3 linked regions of the Caenorhabditis elegans genome follow. The protein of the gene in region 1 interacts with the protein of each later gene in a pairwise test. Each region holds a gene or a part of one and is shown on either strand. Other genes may lie near its edges.

Region 1 (7,160 bases):
TGTGCTCCGGAGAAGCGAAAAATGGCCGAGTTGACACAATTATGGACAATGTCCCAAGTTTGGTGGCTAGTCTTTGGTCATGTTGGGCTCTCGTGTGTGGTTCTTCTGCTAGTCACATTCTATATGAAATCAGTGAAATATTTACCGAAATATAATATTGTGATACCAGAGGAGAGTAGAATGACGACTATTTTATGGGCAAAGGTTGGGATTTAATGTATAGTTTATTCCAGAAAACATTTATTCAGTCACTATTCCTCCTTCTATCATTGGTAACCATATACTTTCCATTTCGAAAAGTTTGCATGAAACATCCAAAAGGAGTTTTCACAACACCACGGCACTTCTTGTATCAGGTAAAACGCCAGTAATCACAGGCCAACCAAATTAATTTAGATTTTCGATGCTGGAATCGGTCCATCTTTATATTTCTCATTTCCCTTGATATTCTTCATTTTCGATTTTTCTTTATTCATTTATGTTGTAAGTTTTTTAATTCTAGTCCATTCCATATCTTTTAATTTTCAGAAAGATCGAAAGTATATCAACAAGTTTGGTGCACTCTTCCTTGCTATTTTCAAGCTGATTACAGTCCCAATATTTGTTTATGAATGCTTTCTTTCTACAGTTTGTCTCTGGCACAAAGATCATGAACCTGGCTATTGTAGACTAAATGGAGCAATTTGGCAGTTTATGGTATTCCGATAGCCTTATTCCAACATTGAACGAAACTTCTGATTCAGCTGTCACACTTCTTCATTTTGGTTTATCATATGTTGCTTGTCATCCAAACATACCTGCTCAGTAAATTGAAGCCTAATATTGATCCAATTCCACGAATCAGCGAGGAGACCCCAAGCCAGGTGGCTCCAACTATTCTGAGTACTCAATCTGGTGAGACGAGAATCGAGAGCGAGTTTAATGAAATGACATATATCCATCCGAGAGTGAGAATGATTAAAGTGAAATATATTGCAACATTATTTTATTTTCAGCCATTCCATGTCCCACGGCTTGGATTGTCTATATTGAATGTGAAGAACAATAGGAACAATGATTGGTTGGCGTTGAGGTCTGCAGCGAAAATTATTCTGGTTATTTTAAATACAGTTCATTTTTTGTAGAGCTCTGTTGTCAACCACTGGCTTCTACAAGTTGTATCCATCGAAGTTTTTGATTCCTCCCGGCAAAGAAATTTCGGTGAAAACTACATCTAGAGCTACCAAAAACAGTCGAAATTTCAGATAGAAGTCGAGCAATGTACTAGAGCTGAATCTCCAACGTTGAATCACAATATTCTTATTGAATGGTGAATTCATAGTTCTCAATAATCTCTAATCCATTCTATTTCAGGTTTCCTCTTGACTCGACTCCACCAACGGGTGACTTGCAACGTCTTTGGAGCAAACCATATTTGGTTCCACAATCGCATTGGCAATATTTCGTTCTTCCGGTTTATGTGGATGATTCGGTGACTTCTTATAGCCCTAGTCATGTGTCAAGTGTTGAATAAATTTTTTAATTATTAAATGTATATCAATACAACTGAAATGAGTTCAATTTTACACATGTTTTGAAAGATCTGAATTGAGAGTTTGAACGAATATGGCAAAAAAAGAAAATCACAGAATATAAACAAAATGTCACAATTTTAAATACAAAAGCTACGCGATAAAGCTATGTAAGTTAATAGTCGTTAAAAGTCAGATGAATGAAGTAGAACCTTCACGATGGTTGTTTCAGTCGTCTCTGAAATAATTTGATAACATTTAAACTTTGAAATTATTAGAATTTTGTTACCTGAAAGATAGTAAGTCGTACATTATACTATCACAGGATACAACATCAAAGAAAGTCATTACAAGGTAAGAGTTTGTCATTGCTTGTACTTGCTCCTGAAACTCATTTAATTTTTCATAACAAATTGATGATGGAACCAACCGTTATATAGCTCATGCTCAGAAGAAGCTGACCAACTCGAATAGCTGGATCCTCATCACCTCGTTCTTCAACTACTTTATGCAAGGCTTGAACTATTGTGTCTCGTTGCCGTGCACAAATTGCTCGTCCCTCCTCTAGTAACCGATAGTTACCTGAAACGAGAATTTTAAAACTTTACTGTAGATATTATTTACTTACTGATTTGCCAAATTATGAGAGCTTTCAGAAGTACGTATTCTTCAAATGAGACTTCTAGTCGAGCGAACGGAATTGCCAGATCGAAATATTGTTTTAGCTTCAGTGGCATTAGGGTTCTGCAAGATAACAATTTACTGAGATTTAAAAAAGTTTAGCAAACTCACTTGTACTTTTCATGTTCTTGCGGGGTTTGAAACTCTGTTCCCGCGCCTGGCTCATCTCCACTTATTGGAATCGGATTCATATTGATATAGTCACCATTGAAAAGTATTAGACGTTCTTTTTCTATTCCAACTCTGTAGAAAAACTGACTGAATCTAATTTTTGAACATTAAATACTCACTTATAGCTATAATAGGCAGATGCAAGCATTGAATCTACGGCGCAAGCCATTCGATAGACCACATTTTTGTCATTTTTGTGTAAAGCTTGAAACTCCGGAAATTGATTCACGTAATCAAGAATCATAACAAAGTCGTGCTTTACAAATCCGCAAAATGATTTATAGTTGAAAGGTTTCAGCTGATGATTTTCGTAGGGCTGAAAGAGAATATTGTGAGAAATGGATATGGTGCATTGAAAACTCACACATTCACAAGTTGTATCGAAAACATCTCTTATCTGAGTATCCGTGTACATTATTTTCCTTCGATCATTCAATGAAGCTTCTGTTCTTACATAATGATCAACTAATTCGAAAATTTTATTTTCAACTTCAACGACTGGGTAGAACTGTACATGTTGAATAAATCCTGCATGGCTGGTGCTTGCCTGGTGTATATCGAATGGAGGAGAATTGGAAAGCACACGTTGACAGTGCATACGGTCACCAGTTGCTGGAGTAAGAAGTATGGATGGAGTTGAACGGTGCAGTGGTGGAGGTGTTACTGTCATATCAAGTGGTTGAGAAGATGAAGGATCCGGTGAAAGGTATGACTCAGGAATCGTCATTTCATTAATCCCTGATTCCATTTTCGGGCTCGAATCTGAAACAACAAATGGTATTATTAAAGTATCGTCAGTCGGGATAGATACACTTATAATACTCTAACATAACCGAATCTCATAAAAACTTTCCAAAAAGATTAAGAGTTTAAAAAACCTCAGTTTTGGTGAATTGCCAAATTTTCAAAAAATTGTAGAAATTGTTACAAGTTGGAACCCTGGAATTTTTCCAATTAAAACAATTAAAACGCTGTAAAAAAAAGGACTTGTAGATAAATATTTTTTTTGGTCAACTTCCAAAAACTGTGATAGATGAAAACTGAGTTTTGCCCACTTTTGACGGTAACTAAAAAATTTAAAAAATTTTTTGAAACGTTAAACTGTTATACTTAGGAATTTTATTACCATAGGAGAGGGTTTAAAAAATTTCCCAGTCGAGGGCTTCAAAAATATTTTCGAAATAAATTAGAAACTAACCTTGAACATTTGTATATGTATTTACATACTCATCATACGAAGATTCAACATCGTCATCTTCCTTTTTCGATACAACCAATCCCTTGGAACGTCGTTTTGCAACTCTCGTCTCTTCTTTTCTCGCTTGCACCACTGCAAAACAACAAATTACTGTTTTTTGTACCTCGGACTTTTTGGCCAATTGAACATGTGACAAATGACCTTGTCAATGATCACTCACGTTCTCTGCGCATTCCGGCATCTAAACATTTGATGAACCGACAGTGACGGCATATCATTCTGAGCTCGTAATGGGTTCTACACGGATTTGTGTCATCTCCAGTGCCAATGCATTCGTAAGTCATTGACATTGAAACACTTCTTCGGAAAAATGCTGCACATGCCTGAAAATATGCTCATTTATTAAATTTATTCCAATTAAATTGTGAGAAACATGTTTCCGGAGGTATTAGTGATGCAAATTGTACTTTTCATTTTCTCTTTATTTAAACATAAAGCATGCAAAGTGTGATGTACGTTATCAACAACTTTTTCTATTTGTTCGTGGTTTTCAGTAAGATTATCATACAAAACTTGGTCAAAAGGAGCTAGTTTCTAAACAGGAACTGTACTGTGGTGTGTTCAAACATCCGATCAGATGAAGATCTTCTATTGTCATTCTAGCTACACTTAAGACTACAAAAACAAATAGTGTGAGACACATACCACAAATGGCCACAAAAATAAGTGATGTTTCGTCGAAATACGCAGACGGAAAAAGAAAATACCTGACTACAATACACTTCTAGATAACACAGGATAACAATAAAAACACGTGGCGAGCATGTTACAAATTTTGGCACATTTTCAAAGCATAGTTATATTATTACGCCTTAAAATACTTTAGGACCTTTTTTCACAATTATCACTAATGAAACCAACGGTTTATCGGTGTTTTTAGAACAAAAATTCAAGTCTAGAAATGTTGATTTTACGAGTTTGAATGATAAAAAATATGATAAAAGTTTGAAATTACAGTACTCTTCAAAGACGCACAACGTTTCGAATTTAACAAAAATATGTTGCGCTGAGGCAGGATACCGTGGGCCTGGGTAATAATGTCCGATGCAAATTCAATTGTTATCCAGAAAACAAAAAATGTATATTGTACAACAACAACGAAAGTACAACACTTGTAAAAACAAAAAATGTTCATTTTTTCGGAGTAGTGCTAATTAATAATTGATACGAGAAATATTTTTTTCTTGATCATATTGCTTACCTTACAAGAACGACCTCCAAAATGTAGAGTATTGGCAGTGGGAGATGAACAGACATGACAACTTCGACTGTCAGTTAATGGAGATGGCATTCCACGTGGAGATGTTGAAGCTTTATTTACAATCTCTGGGAGATGATTCGATTCCGGTGGAGGTGATGAAGATCCCTCTTTCCAAATGCAGAAGTCAATATCGAATGATGGTTGGAATCCAAGATCGTAAGATGGAGATGATCCTAACGAATCACCAACGTCCAGAGACTCAGGAGATGGTGGTACGTCTTCAAAAGTATTTTTGAATAAATCGGTAGGTGGATAGAAATATTCATAGAGAAGGTCCGTAGACATATTTGATTAAAGTGAAAATGAATGGAGGTGTGCGGCAATGGTAGAGAGTAAGAAAAAGAGAAGAGAGAGGTTAGAGAGAGAAAGGACCGAACAAGGTTAGTACTGATAAGAACAGAATTGGGGGAAAATGAAGAAGAGAGAAAGGTGGGAAGAGGCTAATTGGAGGAGATGAGAAATTGGCTGGACAAAGGGGAGAAGATATTAATATATGGATTTATTTATTTGTTACGGCAAGAGATAGAAAATTGATTCATTAATTTTAAAGAAATGTGAGTTTTAAATTTGCAATTCACTGAATTAATATTTTCAAATATATGTATGAATAAAAAGTCTGTGGTTTGAAAATAATGCAAAACTATTTTCAATTAAATTTCGCCTATTTATAGTCACTGGAACGGAAACTTCATTCTGTCTAATCGAAAACGTGATGGGAAAATTTCAAATTATCACATTGAACTTATGGTTTTTCAAAAAATTTAAATACTCAAGTTTTGAATATTTCACACAAATATATATAAAAATAATAGAGAGAATAAAGATTTACGTTCGTTATAGAATTAGAGAGAAACGTGCGAGAACAAGAGATCGCCGACAGTGGCAGAGATTGCGGAAAAGGTGGATGTAAGAGAATTAGAGATAAAAGAAAATGTAAGTATATTAATACGAAAGAAAAAACAACTAAGCTGTCTGCGACTCATTGAGAGTACTAATCTTTTGAACCCTGGAAGATATGTAAAATACTGCTTCAGAAAACTGGCCGAATTGTTTTCAGAAATTGACATCTTTTCACAAGTTTATATGAAAATATTTTCCTGGCAATGCAGAATAATCAGAAATCATTAATATTTGAAATATACTTTTTTTAATAAACTTTTTTCAAATTCAGATCGAAAGGAGCAAATTTTTTTCAATGACGAAGAATTAGGACTATTCATCGGCAAAAAATATCATCATGCTGCGGGAACAGAAATTATTAATTTCCTGTATTCTTGTCATCATTTTGAACTGATTTTCATAGGTTAGCATCAGAAACTATAGAAAATTTAAGAAAACTCGAATGTTTCCAAACGACTGTCAGTCAGCCAACCAGGTGAAATGATAAGAAAATGTGCATTTTATGTTCATAGAATACAAGGGATAGGTGGTGATAACACAGAATTTGTAATATTCAGGCATTTTTTGAGGATTACCGGTTTAAATTAAAATGTATAAATATCATACAATTTTTTTCTATTTCAAACGAATGTTCATAATGAAAAATCTGAAAGAAAACATGAAAAACGCGGGTAAAACTATTTTTTTAAAAATGGATATGCACATTTATAACACAGATGATGATTCTGTACAATTATATTCAATTTCATACATTGAAGATCATCTCCAGAGTGTACAAGTCTTCTGACGATCACAAGCTAGAAGACCTCGGCCTGACGGATTCCATGCCAGAGACATTATTTGAGCCGAACTGAAAAAAAAACATTTTTGAGAGCAGAATTGGGGCATTGTACTCTGGAAGCGGATTTAATTTCCCAAGTTTTCGATTTTCATTCAAAATTACGGTATCTCGAAACGATAATTTTTTATTAAATACATATTCATCTTTTAAGAGTACTGTAACTTTAAACGCTTGTTGCTGCCATATTTTTTTACATTTTTTCAAAGTTTTTATTTAAGTGTAGTTTTATCGAAAGATTTAGAAATTAAAATTCCGCAGTACTCTTTAAAGGCGCACGCCTTTTCGCAATTAACTGAAATATATCGTGTCGAGGGCAGGTGCTGTACCTTTGGAACTAAAATCGCTAACTTTTGCGTCTGGCTAATGATGGTAACAAAAATTCTATATTCTATAATATCACATTTTTGATTAATTCTAACAAAAAATTTTGAAACATTTTTGAAACACTTTTTTGTAATATCGTTTCTTAATTTCACTCACTCTGATCTCGCAGTTTTCACAACTTTTTCCAACTTTGTGGTTTTTGTATTCCAAATG
Region 2 (7,160 bases), 680 kb from region 1:
AAAACCTTTCTCAAAAGTTTCAAAAATATATTTGCAGAGTCGGACTCACCCAAATGGTTGAGCAAGCCGTCAAGACGCATTCTCTCCAACAACAAGAAAACACTGATTCGACAAGATCAGTTCGCGGTGAGGTATCCACCAAGACCACCTTCCAAAGATCCGCCAAGGGAAATGTGACAATTTCCGAGTGTGATCCAAATGGAAAGTTCATCAAGCTTGAGAACTCGCACAGAAACAAGGTATGTTGAAGCTTTTTGGTTTTGAAATGTTGAAAATTTTATTTCAGGATGAGAATGTTGGTGAGCACAAAATCAGAAGAAAGTTGGATGGAAGACGCGAAATTGTCTATTCCATTCCAGCCAATGTTGTTATCAAGCCAGGAAAGAACTTGACCGTAAGTTATTTTTATCATTGTTTTAGAAAAAAGTGTGTAGCTATGTAAATATTCTTAGTATTTTTTTAGTCTGCCACTATATTTTTGAGAAACCCAGCCAACATAGTCTGAAGCCCGTTAAAAACGTACTTTCACCTGAAAATTTCCAAAAAAAAAATTTTGAAAGGGAATGGCCAAATTTTGCTAAAATCTGAAATTTTGTGAGATTGTCCATGTAGCAATATCGGAAAATCAGTTGTTATTTCTCTAATGCTCTTTATCAGAGTTACAGGTTTTAGAAATTTGAAAATGTTTTCCCCAAGTTTTGAGCCACCATAAGAAATTTGGAAACATTTTCTGAGAGGTCTCATTATGAAATTTAATCGTTTCGGGTTAGTCTAAGGGTTTCTCGCATTTGCTGAGAAACTAATCTACATAATTTCGAAAAGAGAATATTCCAATTCCAATAAATTTCCAGATCTACGCCCGTGACCAAGGAGGCATCAACAACCCACCAGAGTCTCTTGTCTTCGATGGAGAGAACACCTGGGGAATCGGAGCCAATGTTGTGACGTCATTGGTGAACAAGGATGGAGAGGAGCGTGCAACACACACCCAGAAGACCATCCAATCCGGACAATAAGCTCTCATTATTTTTAAACAACTTTTTCTCTTTTAAACAACTCCCCAAAATCACTCAAGTTCTCTAGTTTCTGTCCATAATTTTCTTATTATTCTTGATGATAGACCTTCTCGACATTTTTTCTTTAAATTGATTCATTGAAACTGCCTAAAACTGACCAAAATATTGAATTGATTTGCTTAAGACTCTTCACTTAAAATCGCTAATCTGAAATTCATTTTAAAAAACATCAAAAAAAGAACAAAAACGTTTGCAATTCTTTTCATAATACACTGCTTTTCCCGTTCAAACTTCAAGTGTTTCCCCCCGCTCATTTTCCACCGAAAAATCTTTCTATTCAATGTTTTCTACTTCTTTTTCAATTTTAATAAGATTTTTTATTCAGTTTAGTTTTTTTTAATTGAAGACAAATCATAAATACAATTTTAAATGTGACCATATAAAAATATACAAAGTATTGGAACTCTGATTCTGACGATAAGAAAAAATATTCAATTTCTCAAAATGTTTTATCATTTTCTCGGTATTCTTCTTCGGCTTCCTCATTTTTCATTAAACGATGACTGTAATCCAATGGAGCAGTTTGTGGGAAAATTGTGCTCGGTGATGACGTGGCAATTGTTGGCTGGGCTGAGAAGAACGCTGGTGGAGCTGCGAGGCTCGCAGCAGATGCGAAATCTGACATTGATGGAGTTCCGAAGAAATGCGGCATCACTGAAAACACTGAAAATAAGTTTAATTTACGAAATAATATTGAATAAGCTCTCTTACTCGGAAATCTCATGAATGGTCTTCCATACACAGGATTGAACATTGGCATTGAAGAGTATCCATTTGGTTTGAAAACTGGACTTGTTGGAATCACTGAGCCACTGGTATTTGGTGTTGATTCAGATGAGAGCTCAGGTGGGGAAGAAGTGCTTACAACAGTTTCAGAACCTGTTGGAGAGCTTGGTGAACTCCGTTGTCCCTGTGAGTCTTCGTATTTTTCTTCTGAAAGGTAGTGCAAGGTTAGTTAAGGTTAATCTTTTAAATGAGAGCAATTGACTTGTAAAGTGCTAATCTAGATTAATCCCATCAATATTGTGAATAGCTTATCCCTCTCAAATGCATCTGCTTCTCGTAAAGCTTACAGTGCTCTCTAGCTAATTGACTTACGCAACCAGGTACGGGGATTATGGAGATGGGGTAAAAGTGCACCTGTTTCCGAATACGCAAAAAGTTTAGCACGAGTGGGGTTCGAACCCACGAGGTGTTATCCACCATTGGAACTTAAGTCCAACGCCTTAACCACTCGGCCATCGTGCTGGCCATTCGACGCGGCGCTCCGTAGCCTTCACATTACTGCGGGAAGAAGAGAGCGCACTCTCATTTCTCTGTCTCGAACAGGCTGTCATGTCGACTCACCAGTATTATTATTGTTGTTGGTCGTCGGAGAAGCGTGGTTTTTCCCGTGATGTTCACCGGCATCGAGACGAAGAATATCGAGGAGATCATTCGCTAAAAAATAGAAATTAAATAAAAAGTTAGCGTGTTATTCTATAAAAAAAGAGAACAATGTGTCATTGTAGAAGGTGTGTGAGCATACAAAGATGACCCTAATGAACTATTAGTATTGTAACAAGTATAGGTCATATTAGTGTCAGGTTACCCAATAGTTAGTCTAGCACCTCGAGCACAGCGGGAAGCTTGTTCAAGACACAACTTGAATGAAAAATGACCGGAAATACTTGATCGGGAAAAACACATGCACTGATTCAGCACCAGCATTCCACAGCTTAATCCCCGAATATTTAAATAAGCTGACTTACCATTTCCAGCAGAACCCAGAAGTACTTCCAAATCTCTTGCGTCTCTTTCTTCCTGAGATTGCTGACGACGAAGAGCAACCTGAGCAGCCATAACTCGTTGTCTTTCGGCAATTAATGTGCACTTTGCACACATACAATCCTTCCATTGACAGTAACGTTTGTGACCTGGAAAGTTTATGGAATATTACATTTAAATTCTAGATTTTCCACGAGAGCACAAATCACGCAAAGATGGCAAGATCGGTGATGTGTTTCCAAAAATTGAAAGTTCTTATAGAGCAACTTATTTTATGGTTTTAACAGAAGCCGGAGCATCGAGTGTTATTGTCCCCTTATATTTTGAAGTAAGCTTTACTGGAACTATTACATGCACTTGAAAAAAATTTTGTACTTCGATTAAGGATTAAACAAAATGATTTTTCTGGTAGTCTTGCTTAATTTGACAGCTTGAATCTCGGTTTTTATTTTTTATTCTATGAGACTGATGAATATGGTTAATTGTTTTGATGGAATATTAAAATACGAACCTTTCAATGCAGAAGTAGTTCCGTGATTCCGACATCTCGCGCATTTCGGAGTCCTTTGATTCCTCTCTGCACGAATTCGAAGAATCTGTTCGAGGCTAGTTGGCGGTAGCACAGATACTGACGACGGAGAAACAGGCATTCTGTTTAAAATATTTTGTTGTGAATAAGGTGAAATGTTATAATATCAGAATGAGAGGTAATGGTTCCCAAAAGGAATGCTCAAGTCCCACCCCTTTTGCTCTTCGATCAGTGCTCGCGCGGACCACCAACCGGAAGAAGCTCCACCCTTTGTGAAGAGGGTGTCGGGGAAAGAGGGGTTACTGTAGGATCAAATGAAACAGATATATCCAGAGATAGTAGTAGAAGGAAAAGAAAAAATAAGAGACTGTGAGAAAACATTGAGTAATTTGGTAATAATCAAGTGGGTGTATAACAAGGCACTATATTTAGGAATGTTGAAAATATACGGTAATCAAATAGTTTTAAATCGAAAAAAACTGGATAAACTGCTCTTTGCTTAATCGCCTATAACTCGACAGTATGTCGCAACGTTTCAACCAACTTTAGCAAGTTATCGCAAAAGTTGCAAAAGTTAGGTAAAGCTGGTTAAATTTTGGATGATCCCAAAAATGAGCACTGAAAAACTACCGAAAGTTGGCTAAACTTGGTTAAAAGCTTCTAGCCTTTCTTGAGAAGGTGTGGCGAGTTTCTGATAGTGAGTAGGGACTATCAAATCAAATAAGCCACTTGACCTGCATTTTGTTTTAGGCCATGGTTGCCATATTTCAAAATTCCGGAGTTGAAAAATGGTGACGCTTGGAGATATGCATTTTCAAAAACTGTACCCACAAAACATTGAAACTTTAATTTTGTTCAAAAAATGTGAACACATTCCTATCCTGCTGCAAGTAGCGCAACTTCTCTCAAGATTTGAATGGAAGTTATGGAATCAATATCATCACCATATGCCAAATCACGAGCCATCAATCACCTGCCAACCACCACAACAAGAAATTCTTAGAATAAAATTGAAAGTGTTTTCAATAAAGTTTACATCTTACTAGATTCGCGTACACACCAATTTTAGAGGCTGCAATTTGAAATCGTGTGCTCTCTAAACATCAGAATAATTACAAGTTTGCCACAAAAGCATCGGGCCTAACCGCGTAATAATCACAAGGTATCATGACAAATAACTAGTAGAGATTGAGATGCTAATTTAAATTACCGCAAAACGTATTAAAGAGGCTAAGGAAGGGTATGCTAACAACAATAATCATAACATATGGAGAAGAGTGTTGGTTGTGGACACCCCCTTGTAATTAGAATTTGCGAATGCAAAAGCTCATGCTTGTGTTTTGATTGGATTTCGGCATGGCCTTTTACACATTAAATATGAAAATAGGTAATCTGTGATAGAGAAGAGAACGGGTGTACTTCTGAACAAGTGTATTACAAGAGAGCTCAAGTAAAATTTGTAAGCATGGGGTTGAGCGTACATTTTCGAAGTAGTGATCGCGAATTTAACGTCCAAGAACAGATACATAAGAACCACAAATTTCCTGGTTTGGTGCAAAATTTAACTTAATTACCAATGAATTCTGGAGATAACAGATACACTCTGGCACACTCCAAAACGTTATAATAACCTATGCAGATCTATCAGAAAACGTAGACACCTCGTGTAAAAATGAACCTGTTTCCTGTCTGAATTCTACTGAACAGCTGAAATTGTCTGGAACATTAACTGTAAAAACATTGAATAAGATTAATTGTTCATTGGTGAGCTCGCCAGGGAAAGTCGTCGTTGAGACTTTGAATAACGAAAATTTTGAAAACATTGCTCTGAATGAGCACCCGACATCGATTAATTTGAGAAATTCACATCCCGAATATCATTTGAACTCTGACTTTGAATATCTTGAAGAGTAACTTTTCTAACCTTTTTCCTATAATATACGCAAAATGGTTCAAATAACCTAAATTGTCAACGACTTCTTTCAAAATTATATCGGCATACAAAATTTTTGAGAAAGTCCTATGAAACTAGGCTTTTTGTGAACATTTTTGAATCCACTTGATCGTGTACCATTTTTATTAGAAGCCGTCAATAATCAGTTTTACAACTCACTATTACAACTCACTAACTCAGTATTTTGTTTCAGTGTTTTCATGCACATCTTCATTTTCTGGTGAACTCCATGAGAAAGTTGGAAAACCGTGAAGGTCGAAAAAATTGTGAAAATGCGCAAGGAATTTAAGAAAAAGTTAGATAAACTTGCGAGAAAATTTACTCTACTAACAATATCACAGCGTTTTCATCTGTTTCAACTTCAATTGTTTTTCAGTCATGTGATAAAATTTCGAAAAAACATGCAACATTTAATAAACTGATTTCATTTATTCATCATCTAAAAACATTTTGCCACCCAGTGCACTCAACGCAGATGTTTTCTTTGCTTCCTGGTATTAAGAAACACTTTATATCCTAATTCTACAGTAAGATTGTTTTGCAGGTGTGACATATTAGTCTCTACTAATGTGTACTAGCTCTTCCCTTAGTTTCATCTATCCTCTTCACGCGATTACTGTAAACAAGAAGCATTGTGATGCTTTTGTGCTCAATATGCTCAATGGAGAAAATGATGGGATGAATATAAATACATATTTATGTAAACGATGATGATGATTTGTTGAAAAGAAATTGAAGAAGCCACTGAAGGTGTTGAGAGCATCTGTGTGCATTTTCGGCTCTTCACAATAATTGTTTTCGATTTCAACTCAAGAGGCAAAGGTTGTGAATGTAATATGTCTCTGTCAAATATGATTTACAAAATATGTTCAGGGAAAAAAGAAGTTAAGGACCTGGGGGTCTTGAATATTCCGGTTCAAATCGTGGATTCTAGGAAAATAAATGAAAAAAAAAAGTAATTTATTCTTTGTTACGAACCAAAAGTTAACAGATAAATTCCTTTGTTTTAAGCCAAGTCGGCCAATTCCGCGAGCAGGTTTACAAGTTGAAATGTCTGAAGTTTATTTTTTGCCAGAACCGCATTTTTCCAAATTTTAAACATTCGAGCAATCACATATTGGAAACAAGGAAATTTCAAAATAAATTTTCAACTGCTTAATTAGTTAACAATCAATTTTCTACATTTTTATATAAGTCTCAGAAATACGCACCAATTTTCTGCTCATACACAATTCAATAAAGAAAATTATTTTGAGATTTTTTTTAATTAAGAAAAATGATAATTTTCAAACTAACTAACAAATATACTTCAGATTCTTTATTTGAATTTTTATTTTGTTAAAATGAACTGGTTTAATGAAAAACCCAATATGAATACCTCTAGGTAATTTTTTTTCCAGAAAAATAAGTGAATGTCTTCTTTTCTATTTTCCGGTTACTCTTTCACACCCCGATCCAATACCATAATCCGCGTAAGACTGCACCTGTAATCCCATTGAAGTAGGTGTCAGAATACAGTTGATTCCACACCTCTTTTCTGAATTCCACCGACAGTGTCTGTTGACACCACTTCATTATCTTCCAATTGCACAATATTTGAAACAAACTCCCATTATGTAAACACTGAACAGGTGTTCACAACAAGACTGTGAGAAGAAGGACGTATTAGGTCATAATGGACATATACAGGGCAAATAGATGGCATCCCGGAAGGCATTGACAGGGATAAGGAAATAAATATAAGGCTTTTGATATTTTCAATTACCATAGCGACAGCAATTAATTATCTTGCTTTAATCAATTTGTGAAAAATCACTTTGACAGTGTATATCTC
Region 3 (7,160 bases), on another chromosome or scaffold:
AATGGCACATACGACAAGTGAGATGCGGACAAAAGGGTTATTTTGACGATTTCTGCAATCTTGGGTACATTTTTTCAAGACTATTTCCACAGAAAATTTCAATTGCCAAAAATAGCTCAGGGATAACTTTTTGAATGCGAGTAGTTGCGATTTTTCAATTCCCCCTTGTTGTCATCAATTGAGGAACACCCAAAAGCCAAGTACTTTTATTTTCCTGATCCGCATAAGAAGTTAAAACTATTGTTTGCAATGTGACTTGGTTCGTGGTACTCCTAGACTAAGTTGTTACTTGAAGAAATTTGATGGATTACAAGAAATTGCACCATTCAATTTATCAATATGATCTATACCAAGTGACATACGAAATTTCATTTGTAATTACAAAATCGCACAGGTGTTTCAATAATTTTATTTGTCATTAATATTTGAAACAATTCCGCCGCTCAATTCAACAAATCACCTGCACAAAAATCGGCACTCGAAAAGTTCAATAATCCCGTTAAAGCATTCCGGAATTGGACAAAAATGTCGACTAATCTCCCACCAATTCACCGGCCGAGTGACGCACAAACGGATTTCCAAAGCAGTCTGCAACTTGGTAAACGAGCACCAAATTGGATATTTATTGACCACAATGGATTAATAATCACTATGACAAATGACAATTGAAATGACAATGATGTGAATAGAAAATGACGACTCGAAAAGGAAATGTTCCAAATTAGAAGTTTCCCAGCAGAGAATTGTTTCTTAAATTAGATTGAGTGTTCTTAAAATAGTACAATTGAAATACATAGATTTATCCACGGAAACGGATGTCTTAACTTATCACTGGATTTTCTTGCGCTAAAATGAAACTTTTTAAATTTATTCCTGAAAGTCAGCACAAGTTCAGAATCCTATCTTTCATTAAATTGAACCTCGCCAAAATTCGAAAATCTTCATTTCTAGGTGTGTGGCCGCCCACACGGCAAACTATACGTATTTCAACTCTCGCAAATTTCAAAAGTTGCCCTGTACTTCATTATCATTTGACGTCATTTTCCTCATATTTTTTGGAAAAGATATGACGTGGCGTGGGAGTCTCAAACTTTTTCCATAGAAATCTCACAAACTTGGCATATAATTAGCGCAATTTTTTCAGGATACTGGACTCTTACTATTAGTATTTTGACTGTTCCCATTCATTCTAGTCCGAATTTATTAAGAGTGGATTTACATACATAGAACTTTGCCTACGTGCCTGGGAGTTTCTATTAAATAATTTTAAAGAAGTTCGCCGCATTCTAGAGCAGCCTGACAGTTCTCAAATAAAGCTTTGAAAATATTTTTCCGACGAACAGTTTCCGAACTTTTCAATTTTCCAAAGATACATTTTTCTAAAAAACACCCGAATTATTTGTTCATTAAAACTAATTATTTCGTCACTCGTAATATGAATAAATGGAGTAAAATTAGAGAAAAAAACAGGTGAATGTTCGTAGTTTTTCCTTTAGTAAGCCATGATCTCATAGGTCTCAATCGTAATATTGGATTGAATCAGAAAATTATTCAGTTACTAGTGTGAGAGTGTGTTTTTATTTGGGTGTGTGTATTTAGACATAAAAGTAGTGGCGGCAGGTGGAAAATTGGGATTTGAGAGCAAAAATCTAGATGAAGAAAAAATTATGTTTGCAAGCACACTTTGTTGGAAAAATTCGATTAGGTCTTGATCTACTAGAGCGGAGAAAAGATTTGATAATAAATTAGGCGTTTAAAAACTTTTTGCGTAATATCTACGTAGGTTAAAAAGAATTTAATCAAAAAATGAAATGCCACCAAAGATTGAGAAGAGTTTAGAATTTTATAAAAAATGGCTTTCACACAAGTTTCGTAGAAAAAATTGAAAAAAAAACTGTGGTATTCGGAAAAAAGAACCCAAAATCAACATGAAAATACTCAAAAAATGTCCCCACCGAAAAATTCTATAGTTTATAATATACATTTTAAAATCAAAAATAAATATTAAAGTATTCTTTTTAAAAAAACTTGCATTGCCGGCAATTGCCTAATATAAGGTAATTGTTGAAAAACCCAAAAAAATCTGAAAAACTGACGGAAATTTGTTATTCAATCGCGAATTGTTCGAGGTTCTTAAAACAATATTTTCGAATCAATCAGATATTTTTACATTTACAGAAAATTATCATACCAAAGTGGGCACTTTTGTGGATTTGCCACACCCCTGGTTTTGAATTCAAATATAAAAAACCAATATTTGATGGTTTTACAACTTTGAAACTTAAATCTGAATTTTAAGGATTCATGCATATGTACAGTACATAGCTCATTGCACATTTACACGTCATCATTTCGAATAATTTTTAATCCTTTCAGATCATCCAATTCTTTATCCACTTGTGACTTTTTTTCCCAATCACGTCAAAAAAGTTTTAAGACGCTCCAACTAATTATCGAATCCACTCGGCTCAATCCGGATAATCCTCTCACTCCCCCCGCCCAAAGCGATTATTCGATGAACAAATGATCTTTATCACTATAATCATCGTCAAAGCTATCATCATCAGAAGGTGATAAACTACATAGCTCCGCCTTTTCCGTTTTTAAGCATCTACGCTTTTTTTGCTAGAAAAGGCTAAGAGGGCGGGCTCTCCTTAAAAATTGAGGATATATAAAAGATTGTTTTCTAAAGCTGTGATGTGATCAAATAGTTATGATTGGGTGCATTTTTTGTGTCATAATCTTTGAAAATATTTGTATTTTTTATTTGTTTAGATATTTTCCAATTTCTAGCTCCGACCTTCTGATTTAAATGAAACATGTGACCTGCGAAGAATTTGAATCAGAAGTTTCATAATTCCGGCTTCGGGTCAGAAAACCCACAAATCATATTCTTAGTTTTTTTTGAAGGAAAGTGGTAGGTATTTAATGTTTCTGTATTGATTCTCAGAAAGTTAGTTACATCAGGTTTAGGTACCTACATAATTGTTCAAAATATGATAGTGGCAAGTTTTTAACATGTGTTTCAGTGGAGAAAAGTATGAATTCTTAGAAATTGCATTAAAAATAACAAACCTTGAGATACCATAGTTATGTTAACCTTCAAAACAAGTACCGTATTTCCACTAGTAGTAATGCACTTTACTCTTAAACTTTGGCAGCGTTTGTCGTAGTTTTTGTTCGTTCTATCGAAAAATTGTCAACTGATAAATAATTTGTTTGATTTTTTTTTCTATAGATTCGCAGTTATCTTACAAACGAACAGTGGTACAATCTTTTAAATTTAAGCAGTTTCAAGTGTTTTAATTTTTTGTGGTATTAGACGTTATTAAGAGCAATTTATGTTCATGGCTATTCCCATAAAACCTCAAAATTAGTTTCATTTTTGATCTTCTTTTTTCCAAACATTGAGACTTCCTTGAAAATGACAAATAATTGGCTTCCATTTGCATGTAAAATATGTATAACGTTCGATCATATTTAAACTTTAAAGCACATTAGCCTGTGAGCTTTGATATCTGACTAACAGAAATATGTTAGACACAAAATTCGATTGCTCTCAATTTTATATTTGAAACTTTCGAAATTTTCACCAATTAAAAATTTTACACTTAAAACTCAAATTGTTGAAAATAATCTAATAGGTTGTAGTAAATTGGAGCAGCTGCAGAAATCGAGAAGGAAAATTAAGTTTCAGATTTTTATTTTAAATTCTCACTTTTTCATTTCTGATATGCAAAAATGTGATTAAATAAAATCCTCCAGACATTCATTATCTACGTCTTCCCATCTGATTCCATTCATCTTTCATAATCCGATTAGCAATTTCAACATTTCCTGGAAACACTGATCTTTAAAAATTAATCCTTTTCATTTTTGTTTCGTCTGACTCATTTAATAATATCTACACTGATATACCTGCACAACACACTGACTACTATTATTACTTTTACTACTACTATGACTACTATAATCTACTAATGAGTGGTAAATTTTGAGCTTTGATCATTCGTTCACATCCCTTGGTAATTGGAGAGAAGCAGTGTATTTTCATATTCCCAGACTCACACGTTTTTGAATTTGTCTGCAATAGTGAAAACTTTAGTTTCTATAATTTACCATTCAGGGGTATCAGCATTTTATTGCACCCAGTAATTTTAGATAATTTATGGTTTGAATCTGTTTTTGTCCAACTTGATCTGATAAACTTAGAACAGTAAGTTCTACAATTGCCAAACTTTTAATTTTTTACCTCTTTACATTTTTCAACATTTTTACATTTTTTGATTAATCTTTATTTTCTAGATGGACACCCATCTTCCATTCCAAACTTTGCCAGTTTCAACGCCGCTGCCTGTGTCTTCATCATCTCTAACAGGTAACATCAAATCCATTTTGAAATGTGCTCTTACACAAAGCTCCTTAATATCCAAATCGCATTCCCCCACACCATTTAATGATTTCATGACTGAAAACCATCTGTCAAACACGACAATCATCCGATTTTCATTGCTGATAAGCTGATTTCGGGAATGATGATGATAAGATTTGTTAGACTTATTCAAAAATCGAGAAAGATGAGAAGCTGTATGGCTGACATATCATTTTATGAATTCAGACGTTCTTCAAACAATTGCTGCTTTACAAGCCTGTCCCACATCCTGTATACCTTCAACATCAACTGGAATGCTTTCACCGAATCTTCCCTTCTCGGCTACAATTCCACGTGTCAACTTGTTCCCACCATCACAACCAGCCAATTCTTTAATACTGCCAACAATTCCAGCACAGGTGAATGATTTTCGTATTTTCAAAAAACCTCTTAACCCCTTTTGTATTTTCAGCCTTTTATTCCAAATCCATCTCTCCTGCAAGCCAATCCATCTGCTGTCGAAGCTCTTGCAAATGCACTTTTTGCAACAACAAGCCGTCGGGCTTCTTGCCCAGAACCTCCTGCATCCTCTCAAGCAACCGTCACGCTTCAAGTCCCATCTACGGGTTCTCCAGAACGACGACGTTATTCAGAAACAAATATGGAGGTTCTGCTACGTGAACAACTTGCACAATTGATGCCTCCAACCTCTCAACTACCCGGAATGCCTGGATGTTATTATCAACATGTTCCAGCTGCTGGAACTTCAGGAATTCAAGGATCATTAGATGCGGCGTTAATGGGAGCTGTTCCCTTGGCTATGAATAGTATGGCACATAGTCGGAGAGCAGCAAATCATAGAAAAGCAAGGTAAGGAGAATAAACCAGCAAAATGACACATCTTTGTAGCATACTCTATCAACTTTTTATCAATCTTTAGCACAAAATCTGCAGCTTTTCAGAAAAGAGCTTTTTGACAAATTTTCATTTACATTTCTTTGAAGCTGTGGCGTTTTTTTTCGAGAAGAAGAGCACAATATACTTGTATACTGGCTTCTCGCCTCAAAAATTGAACAAACCAGTTTCAGAAAACTTTCATAAAAAAAGTCAGAAAAATTGTCAACGAATCATAGAACCATCAGGTGACTCATTTAAGATTTTATAAGCTTTATCAAATCCTTTGACGAAATAAACATTTACTTCATTTCCGAAAGGAAGTTTTTTGGCCTCTGACTTGAAGTTTTTAAAAATATAATTTATTTATCTTTAGAAATTCTTAATCAATCTAAAATATAACTTTGACGCAAAACGAAGTTCGTGGGATAATTCATACGTGCCGAATTGAAAAGAAATTGTTGGTTCCCACAGTAAGAAGCTGAAGAAGATTGTTTTAAGATTCTAAACTAAAGATCAAACAAATTCAAAGTTTTCAGAACAATCTACGGTACAACACAAACTCAACAACTGGAAGATATGTTTAAAGGACAAATGTACGTAGTCGGAGCAGAACGAGAAAATCTTGCTCAACGCCTTGGCCTATCACCTTCTCAAGTTAGAATTTGGTTTCAAAACCGGAGAAGCAAACATCGTAGGAAACAACAAGAGGAGCAACAGAGCACGACGTTAGAAGAAAAATCTGAAGAAATTGGAAAAGATGAAGAGGAAGATGATGAAGAAGATGAAGATGATGTAAAAGTTCTGAATTAATTTAATTTTTTTTTTCGTGTTTACTTGTTTATTTCCTGCCATATTCTGTTTTAGAAAATAATTAGAAAAAATGTGTATATTCTTGATTATAAAGCATTAAACAAATAAAGTTTTATGTGAACTTACTTGATAGGTTACGTTATCAGGAAATGGTTCGGTGCTTCAAAGAAAATGTGAAATCTTACAAGAAAGCTTAGCGAATGGCTTCAATTTTTTCTAACTCAATAAATAATCAATATTTTACAAAAAAAGTATTGCGAACAAGAGGTAAAATATTTCTGATCACTTTGTTAGTTGAACATTTGGTTTTTAGACGTGTATTTTTCCAGATACGCCAGTTTGAAGATACGCAATTTAGCGAGTCCTTGAAGTTTTGTGGATATATTTAATTTTGCATACGACCAACTTTTGAAAAAAAAACAGTAAATTCCACTGAACAAACCGTAATTTTCCACATTGAACAACTTATAAATAAAGTCTGTGTGATAAGTTGCCAAAAATTGTGTGTTTAATCGAAATTTCTGATAAAATTCAAGTTATGCCACCAACCAAAAATTGGTTTGAGAAACATCTTGTCTTTGGAATTCTACATTTCAACAAATTTTAAAAATTATACAGATTCTCTTAGACAAGTGTTTTAGAAAAAAATAGCTTTCAATTGCCTCTTGGACGGTTCAAAGTGACAATTTGAGTGTAAAATTTTCAAGTTTTAGCTCCATGTTCCGCCATGATTTTGCCATTTCATGATGGTTTAAAAACCAAAAAAAAACCAACTGAACATTTATTGACTGATTTTGAGTAATATTTTAGAAGAGAATGAAAAAGAAATTAAAAATATGAGAAAGAAAATTTGCTGTGAGGATTTTTGAAAATAAAAAAAGAAACAAAACGGGGAGACTGAAAGATGTCTGGGTCTTCTGAAACATAAGAAAGTATGAGCCGAGAAGAGATGACAAAAATTGGAAACAAACCTCAAGCCATGTATATATTTTAATGAAAGACAGGGACAGGGAAAAATGGGATTAAGTTTAATTGAATGAAGAAAAAACAAACAAAAAAAATAAAAAAGAAAGAGAAGATC

The links.
Region 2: the proteins of nhr-22 (region 1) and dmd-5 interact in a two-hybrid assay, tested with the Caenorhabditis elegans proteins (one large-scale study listed by BioGRID).
Region 3: the proteins of nhr-22 (region 1) and ceh-23 interact in a two-hybrid assay, tested with the Caenorhabditis elegans proteins (one large-scale study listed by BioGRID).

What each region holds. Positions count from the first base shown.
Region 1 is NC_003280.10:6,444,622-6,451,781, forward strand, and holds nhr-22 (Nuclear hormone receptor family member nhr-22), read right to left. Parts: upstream 5,172-7,160; 5' UTR 5,168-5,171; coding exon 4,823-5,167; intron 3,945-4,822; coding exon 3,782-3,944; intron 3,694-3,781; coding exon 3,562-3,693; intron 3,126-3,561; coding exon 2,728-3,125; intron 2,680-2,727; coding exon 2,483-2,679; intron 2,436-2,482; coding exon 2,304-2,435; intron 2,256-2,303; coding exon 2,140-2,255; intron 2,094-2,139; coding exon 1,942-2,093; intron 1,896-1,941; coding exon 1,801-1,895; intron 1,750-1,800; coding exon 1,740-1,749; 3' UTR 1,574-1,739; downstream 1-1,573. Other genes in the region: K06A1.2 (uncharacterized protein), read left to right, coding at 1-204, 249-356, 397-483, 529-696, 744-947, 996-1,072, 1,125-1,200, 1,245-1,309 and 1 more; atg-16.2 (Autophagic-related protein 16.2), read right to left, coding at 6,542-6,632, 7,104-7,160. UniProt on the Caenorhabditis elegans protein: Orphan nuclear receptor.
Region 2 is NC_003280.10:5,770,676-5,777,835, forward strand, and holds dmd-5 (Doublesex- and mab-3-related transcription factor dmd-5), read right to left. Parts: upstream 3,546-7,160; 5' UTR 3,494-3,545; coding exon 3,355-3,493; intron 2,993-3,354; coding exon 2,828-2,992; intron 2,672-2,827; exon of another isoform or gene 2,557-2,671; intron 2,517-2,556; coding exon 2,424-2,516; intron 2,407-2,423; exon of another isoform or gene 2,212-2,406; intron 2,010-2,211; coding exon 1,788-2,009; intron 1,740-1,787; coding exon 1,516-1,739; 3' UTR 1,379-1,515; downstream 1-1,378. Other genes in the region: Intermediate filament protein ifb-1, read left to right, coding at 38-239, 287-394, 852-1,016; F10C1.1 (uncharacterized protein), read left to right, coding at 3,554-3,745. UniProt on the Caenorhabditis elegans protein: Transcription factor. Required for sex-specific synaptic pruning, probably acting downstream of sex-determining transformer protein tra-1.
Region 3 is NC_003281.10:7,835,289-7,842,448, forward strand, and holds ceh-23 (Homeobox protein ceh-23), read left to right. Parts: upstream 1-4,303; 5' UTR 4,304-4,305; coding exon 4,306-4,378; intron 4,379-4,618; coding exon 4,619-4,791; intron 4,792-4,844; coding exon 4,845-5,242; intron 5,243-5,805; coding exon 5,806-6,079; 3' UTR 6,080-6,203; downstream 6,204-7,160. UniProt on the Caenorhabditis elegans protein: Probable transcription factor. Required for differentiation of AIY interneurons, acting downstream of LIM/homeobox protein ttx-3. Modulates gene expression, acting downstream of AMP kinase aak-2/AMPK signaling. Modulates lifespan.